Oryzias latipes: one gene and its partner. The protein of the gene in region 2 binds, or shares a complex with, the protein of the main gene of each other region. Links are inferred from orthologs where the notes say so. Each region holds a gene or a part of one and is shown on either strand. Other genes may lie near its edges.

Region 1 (4,091 bases), on a different chromosome or scaffold from region 2:
ACAGCCGCTCTTTAGTCCCCCTCCCTCAACAGCGACACTGACCCCGTCAGGAAAGCTGTGCAGCCGTTGGTTTGATGGGAAATGCATCCTTATCCATTGTATTCTCTCACTGTTGTGTTGTGAGGAGCACTTTATTGTGTAACGTTTACATATTCAGATTCAAGTAAAGGAGGAACTCGTTTCCTAGAATATACTTTTTTTGTTTTAAAAAACTGCAAAATGCTTTAAATGAAGAGGAGATAGTTCTGCTGGTGTGTACATTCTCTGTATGATCATAACAACATCTGTAGTAAACATGTGGACTTCCAGCTAACAGACTATTGTAACCGCCACAGGAATTCTCGTCTTGTACTCTTATATTTGCTTGCAGAAGTGATTTCATCAAACTTAATGTGATGAAACCGCAGTTCTTTAGCTCTTCGGTTCTGGATTTCTCCGTTAAAGTTGCATGAAACAGTGAAACCGTGCCTGAAGTTAGGAAACTTTATTTCTACATGTGGAAATAACGAGATTTAAAACAGACACTAAACATCAGAGCTGGGGAGCCCTGGAGGTTCGGATGCTCAACTGACGCTTTGGTTTCCTGTGTTTCGTGTCAATGTTATGGAACAAATAAAGTTTTTGTGCATATGATTGGTGTTTTTTTTATAGACATTGTCATGACCAGAACTTGAACATGAGACACTAAAGAAGGCATGAAAAGGTCAACTAGAATATTTACAACTTTTGGACATTTAGACTGAGAAAAAACCTTGCTTGGTGGGTAAAATGAGTTGGTTTACAGCAAAGAAGAGGTTCTTTAAATACTTCATTTCCTTACAATAAGCTCAGTCTTCATTACATGCCTCTTCATAAACAACTGCTTTTCTAGGGCTGATTTAGGAGTAGTAATGTGTTACCATAACCTTCCACTTGGGGAGGAACGAGGCTGAACCTCTCCAAAGTGAGCTGTTGAGTGCAAAAGTAAAACTGATACCGGGGGGGTTCACTTGAGGAGGTCTTTCACAAACTGAAACCCCTGAGTCGTCATTTCACTCGCTTTTGTTGGAGCTTCAGAAAGTCTGGAAATCGTCCACCGCACTCCTGCAATTAAAAAGAAACGGTTTTCAGGTCTCACAAGACAAATTTAAGGAAAACTGAAGGCGAAAGCTGATTGAAGACGTGCACACAAACCCAGGTGGCTGCAGATCCTTAAAAAGTCTCATGTTTTGTTGAACTACAATAAAGTCTTGTAAAGCATTAAATTGTCTTAAGGTCCCACTCGGATCATCTGTTGATCTCTTTTCAAAGCGTTCCCAGTGTTCTTATTGCCATTTTTAGTCTAAAAACCTGTCATTTTCCAGGACAGTTTCTGCAGGAGCTCATTTGAAATTCCCCTTTGAGTTGTGGGCGGGACTTTTGGTAAGCCTTCCCCCACTTCCCATCATCAGTCTCTTCAGCTAAATTCTTACGAACAGGTTTTAAATTTCTCATCGACTGATGTGACCTGTCACCCAAAAAAAAAAGAACATTTCTGGGATGCGCTGTGTCATAAGGTTATTAACTGGTGGTAAATCGTTTCACCTCTGCTAGCTTATTAGCTCGTGCTCAGCAGTGTGTGTCTTGGAAATAGGGATTAGTCGTAGTGGTTAAACTTATAAGTGGAAATCTTTATGAAGCAAACTCTGCGGTTTGCTGAAAGACATTTAAACTTTACATAGCAAGGATCATAGCAATGGAATCACGTGTAGAGCAAGAAACCACAGACTCCCAACTCTCTGTTTCTATTTTTGTGCATATAGGGTCTTAAATTTTAAAATCCTTAAATTTCACTTGAGCAAATCTGTAGACCCCCTGCAAACACAGAGGCACAAACTCAGCAGTGAAATGACAAACTGTTTCTCTTATAGAGGAAAACCCAAAAATGTCCGTCAGCTCTTACCAGAGTTCCACGCCTGGACCGGAGAAAATTCAACGTTAGGGATGGTTGGAAGCTGAGTCTGCTGACAGAGAAATAAAAAGAGGAGGTTGTGTATTAGTTAATGGGACCAGTGAAACTTAAGGGATGCATTAATGTGCAGATCTATAACGGTCCTCTTTAACCCCAGGAGAAGTCACCAAAGACCAAACAAACCCAAAGACCTCTCACTCAAACCTAGTTTGTTTGTACCTGAAGACCGAAGTACTTCATCCACTCCTCAATGGCGGGGGGGACAGCGGCTCTGGCCTTCTGTAGGGCCTCAGAACCTTGTTCGCTGCCCCCCAGCAGCCCGGAGTCATAGGCCACATACACAGCCCCTCCCGCTATGCCCACCTTGGTCGCGAGTCTGCAGGTAATCAGAGTCCATCATGAAACGCAGGTCATCAAAGATCGTTGAGACAGAGATGATAACACAAGTAAACATTTTAAAACGTTGGTTTGACAGAGAAACTAAAGGACTTTAGAAACTTCTCAAGACGCGCTGAGTACAAATGAGTAAATTATAAATGAGTAAATTAACATTCAGTTTTGTGGATACAGATACAGAACACATAGTTTATATTAGAGTTAGCTAAACAGGCAAAGAACATTTGTTAGCTTTGCTAGCTAGTTTGATTAGCTAGCTAGTCGGCTAATCCCGCATTTAGCATCACTTCTCCGAACATTTGTAAAGTAAAAATGAACTAACTTCACTACAGGCAAAAGCTTTGTCGCCATGATCCACGGGTAACCGAACTATCCCGAAGCCACGACTGTGACCTGAAAGAAGTCAAACCTAGCAGCTGCACTGAAGGACAAGCCGGATTCTTGTCCTGTCAACCACAGCTGTGTTAATAAAGTTGGATCTTGGAAACTTAGTTCCGCTGCAGAGCAACACATTCGTTCTGCCTCACTTTCTAATGCTTTATTTTATTTAACTTTTTAAATCACAGGTAAATACTTTTTAAATAAAAATGTTTAAAAATTATATCTAAAAATGAAAAATGATTTTTCAAAGGGGTGTGTCTAATGTGAAGTTCACGCCCAAATCGCAAGAAAAACAGTGAAATGGGGCGTTTAACAGATGTACTTTTTTCCATGGGACCTCCCTGAACTTGTCTGAGAGCAGTGTTGCCAAATGCAGCCGTTGTATAACCACAGATCAGCACAATTCCACAAAACCCAGCAGTCAGACCAGTTGCTGCTTTTTCCAAAATGGCTTTTACTAAAGTCTTGATAGTCAGTTTATGTGTAGTTTTTTTAGCTGTCAAGTGGACTTCACCCACTTTTGATCCAGGTGAGCAGAAATCTGTTTCATTTTTTAGTCAGTCTTATTATTTAAGGGTTTGAGGCTCAGGGTGGATGTTAGTGGACCTTCTGGGGCGTGCATGTGTTCCTAAAACCGCATTTTGCAGAAATGATCAGTCATTTTTCGCAGTTGGGTTTCTTTGTATGCTTATTTTAATTAATTTTTAATACTCATTGAATGTTTCCTGTTGCTATCATTAATTTGGAGTTATCTACCATTCACAGATTTGTGTGCCATGGCAACATAACGAGGATCATAAAGATAACATTACCTTTGCTTATTGGCGAATGGGGCCACAGGTTCATGTCTTTACTTGCATATTGAGCTGACTATTCCGGTTTTTTCCCCTTTGCTCTAAATAGTCAGCTCAAACATATATAAATAGGATGAAATTGTGAACATTTCTGCACTGAATTAATTTACCTATGCACAATAATGTTGCTGAGGGTTTACTATTCCCTCTGGGAAAAGTGGGAGTGGAAACCAGGTAAACGGTTAGAATCTGCTTCAGTGGCTGAGAGGCCTGACCTCAGCGAGCGCAGCTTTCATGCAGAAAAGCTGATCAGTCAGTTTTCATGCTATCCTCTGGTAATATCACCATCCTTAACAACTGTAACAAACTCCAGCAGCGCTCAATCAGAGCTCAGGGTCACAGGTTGAAACGTGTTCTGATACTATAGGAGGTTCTGTGAGCCGCTATCTCTTCATGGGGCAATTATAAACGCCGCATGACTGCGGTTGGATCTTTGTACACTTCTGTGTTATCACACATATAAGGACCAGTTGTTATCAGTCAGTTCAGGGTAACATAAATGTTTTTTTAGATCATCATCATCATTTGTT
Region 2 (3,500 bases):
AATCCTTGTTCAGCAAGCTGATTATCGCACTCTGTATTGTTGTACTCCAAGGATAAGCCTCAGTGCCCCTCAGCAACGCAAAGATGTGAGCTGAGACCCGGGTGAGGCGCAGCGATGCGTTGTTTGGCTGCCTGATCAGCAACTGTACCTTCAAACGCCTTCCCAGCCCGAGCTGTGGAGCCACGGGCTCCCAGCATTCTGTCCTCCGGCTCGCCTTCCTCCTCCTGCTGCACTTTTCTCTCTAACTTTCTGTGAATTTGTAACCAGCGCAGTGATGAACAAAGTGGAGAAACCGGCTTTTTTGGTTGAATAATACAACAGTGAGGCACACTGAGAGTTCTGGGATACTGGGAGGGAAAGGCTGCTTTTTACAGAGTGCATGCATAACTCCTGAATCCTCAGTTGTTCCTCTGTAAAAAACTTTAAGGTTGTGTTTTTTTAACCTCAAGCTGACTGCTTGAACCAAAAATCTTTCTTCTTTTGACTATTGAGGATATAAATCACATATAATGAAAAAATAGAGCATTTTGGTGCTCTATCCAGTATCCAAAAAAAGTATTTTAGTTGATCAAATATTTAGAAATCAAACCAAAGTTCTAAGGCTTCAGATTTATTTTTAATTATGTTTCAACAATTTAGGATTAGTTGACAGTATTGAATTCTGTTATGTTTTAATACTGGTTATGTGCCATTAGATTTAAGTTCATGCTGATTGATAAAAGTTTTGTTCAGTCTGATCGCTTTGATGTTTTCATTCTCCAACACTGGACTGATTTTTCTATGAGGGTTTGAACTTTGAGAGTTTAATCAAGAGAGAAAAAAGTGTAAAAATGTTTGTCTGTCCGAGAAAAATGTATAAAGTGTCTAGTTTTACTGCCTTAAATATCTAAAATAATTGTAAAGAAAATAAAGATGACTTTTTTGCCGATTTTGCTCATCTCGGGTTACTTTTGAAAACAAATATCTGATCGCAAACAAAGATTTTTACAAACTGAACACAAGAGTGATTGACAAGATCCACAGCCAATCAGGAAGCTGCTGTGACGTCATCCTAAGTGATACCTTGTAGTTCCTTGACAGAATTCTCAATCCTCACCACGACGATGAGACACAGCAGCTCATTCCAATGCGGTCAGATGAATGCAGTTAAAAAATGCAATTAAAAAGATATAACGTGATGCACGTTGCTTCCTCCTCTTTTCCCCACAATCCATGTCATAAAAGGTAGAGACCAACGCAGCAGTTAAACTGTTGAGCCTGATGTTTAAAACTGATCAGCAAAACGTAAAGTTTGAATGAACCAACAAACTAACAAAGTGCAGGACTTCCAGAATTTCTTTCTCTAGTTGCTTTGCCTCATAATCCCTGACCAATGAGTGAAGAGATTTTATTGCTGTAGTTTTGTAGGCTGACAAGCCTGACAGCAGTCTGACTACAGTCCAAATGCCTTAAGGTTCAGGACTCGATCCGGACCAGCGGACTAGAACAAACGGTTTTCTCCCGCTTAGAGACTTGTTTTGGATTGAAATCTTTTTTAAGTTCAGGAGAAGCTCTGCAACTCACACAAGAACTTTAGGAAATACCAAGAAACTTTTCCACACATTTATGCAAAACACGACCTTTGCTTTTTCCACCAACCGCCACTGAAAGTACTAAAAAGTGAATTCTTTTTTTTTATGTCGATGCTCTTTGTGTTTTTTCCTGCATCTACGCCACATCTTCTTTTGCTACCTTCTCCTCAATTCCTACAGCTGGCAATACTGATGAACTTTGAAGAGGCTTTGCCACCTTTGTGTCTTTCTCCTAAAGCTTCAGAATTAAACAAACAGAGATGTAGGTTTGGTGAGCATCTGGCTGCATGAAGGAAATCAATTCCAAAAAACTAGAATAACTGGGAAACGTGTTATTTCCATAATTCCATTCAAAAAAATATTCTTTTATTGAAAATAGATCAATAGATCAAACCTCTGTCTTTGCTTTTATGCATAAATGCTGATATCTTCAGTTTCATGAGCTGGAACCCAAATTTACGTAAAAAAATAAATAAAATACAAACTTTAACTTTTTGAAAGGAATTGTGGAAATGAAAACACTTTTCCTTATTATTCTAATCTTTTGTCTTTTTTCTTACAAAGAAAATGACACTAATTTTAACCAATAGTGGAACCATGATTGATACTCTATTTTTTGTTTTTTTATTTTATAAAAAAAGAAACACAGACGGAGAAACCTCTCACCTTTCTTGCAGCGTTTATACATTGCAGGTATTCCTTGGCCAGGTCTGAGCACTTTAGGGTCTGGTCTCTGTTGTCTCTGTAACAAGATAAAATCTGAGCCTGCAGGCCAGAACACACTGGAGCTGTACTGCAAGACCTGCAGGAAACACAGAGAAAAACAAAAATAAAGGTCTACTGAGAACAAATAAAATATTTATCCTCCAACTTCCTTGTTGAAGGTGTCAGATTAAAAACTCAAACACTCATTGAAGGAAAATAAAAGGTAATATTTGTACAGAATTGATCCATTTTAATTCAATGACCAACACTAAACCTATGAGTAAAATACATTAAATGGTCACAGATCCCATAGAAACAATTGAAACCAACATGAAGGTTTAAAGAAAGTCTCTTCAGATTCAAACTCTGCAGATCATTGAGGTCTTTGAGGCTTTAGACCAGATATCCCTGGATTGACCTTTACATCTGGGTTTGAATGTAGCAAATGGCTTTAAACAAAAAAAACGAAAAGAAAGAAACACGTCCTTTGTCTTCTAGTTATTATGTACGGCACTAAACTCTGGAACAAGTTTAAATCTAAGAAAAATTCAGAAAAATTCAGAAATAGGAACGATTTTTTCACAATATGGGGTTGAGGGAACTTAATAACATCCAACACTTTCTGATCAATAAGCAATTTATTTTTGTTTTATTAGGTTTAATAGATTAATATTGATTTCGGGAATTTGGTAAAAGAAATTCTGAAGATAATAAGAATTTCGGACTTGGACTGAAAACGTTTTAAAGACCCGCTTCAATGAAAATCTCATTTTTAAAATCCTCTGGGGACATTTTTACCATAATAGATGTTAAGAAGTATAAAGTATAAAATTCTGTTTTTGACTATTTCTTTATTCAAATTGTTGTGAATTGTGAATGCTTTGAAAATACATCAAAATATGATCACAGACCGACTTTAAGAACTTTAAACAGATGTTAAGAACAAAAAAATGTTTTATAAAACATTGTGAGGCGGCATACTTTGAATTAGCTTTTTCTCACTTACTTTTACCCAATCAATCAGTCTTTGGATTCAATAGATTCAATGTATCGTGTGTAAATAGGTCTACTGATGATTATAATCCATATTTAAAACGGCATGATTTGTCTTTTATTTTTTAATCAACTTATGAATTGATATCTTAAATTGGTTTATATTGACATCGGTTTTTTGTATTGTCCTTTTTCCCCCCTTTTTCTTTCTTTATCGCTTGAAATCGGTTA

Evidence for each region.
Region 1: MICOS complex subunit mic25a-like (region 2) and c4h19orf70 share a complex: the UniProt entries of both Homo sapiens proteins name them as parts of the mitochondrial contact site and cristae organizing system (MICOS) complex. The link is inferred for Oryzias latipes from reciprocal best matches to the Homo sapiens genes CHCHD6 and MICOS13.

The regions. Positions count from the first base shown.
Region 1 is NC_019862.2:7,384,538-7,388,628, forward strand, and holds c4h19orf70 (MICOS complex subunit MIC13), read right to left. Parts: upstream 2,801-4,091; 5' UTR 2,678-2,800; coding exon 2,649-2,677; intron 2,307-2,648; coding exon 2,150-2,306; intron 1,983-2,149; coding exon 1,922-1,982; intron 1,084-1,921; coding exon 986-1,083; 3' UTR 470-985; downstream 1-469. UniProt on the Homo sapiens protein: Component of the MICOS complex, a large protein complex of the mitochondrial inner membrane that plays crucial roles in the maintenance of crista junctions, inner membrane architecture, and formation of contact sites to the outer membrane.
Region 2 is NC_019865.2:2,332,133-2,335,632, reverse strand, and holds part of MICOS complex subunit mic25a-like, read right to left. Parts: intron 2,374-3,500; coding exon 2,238-2,373; intron 1,810-2,237; coding exon of another isoform or gene 1,804-1,809; exon of another isoform or gene 1,589-1,803; intron 1-1,588. UniProt on the Homo sapiens protein: Component of the MICOS complex, a large protein complex of the mitochondrial inner membrane that plays crucial roles in the maintenance of crista junctions, inner membrane architecture, and formation of contact sites to the outer membrane.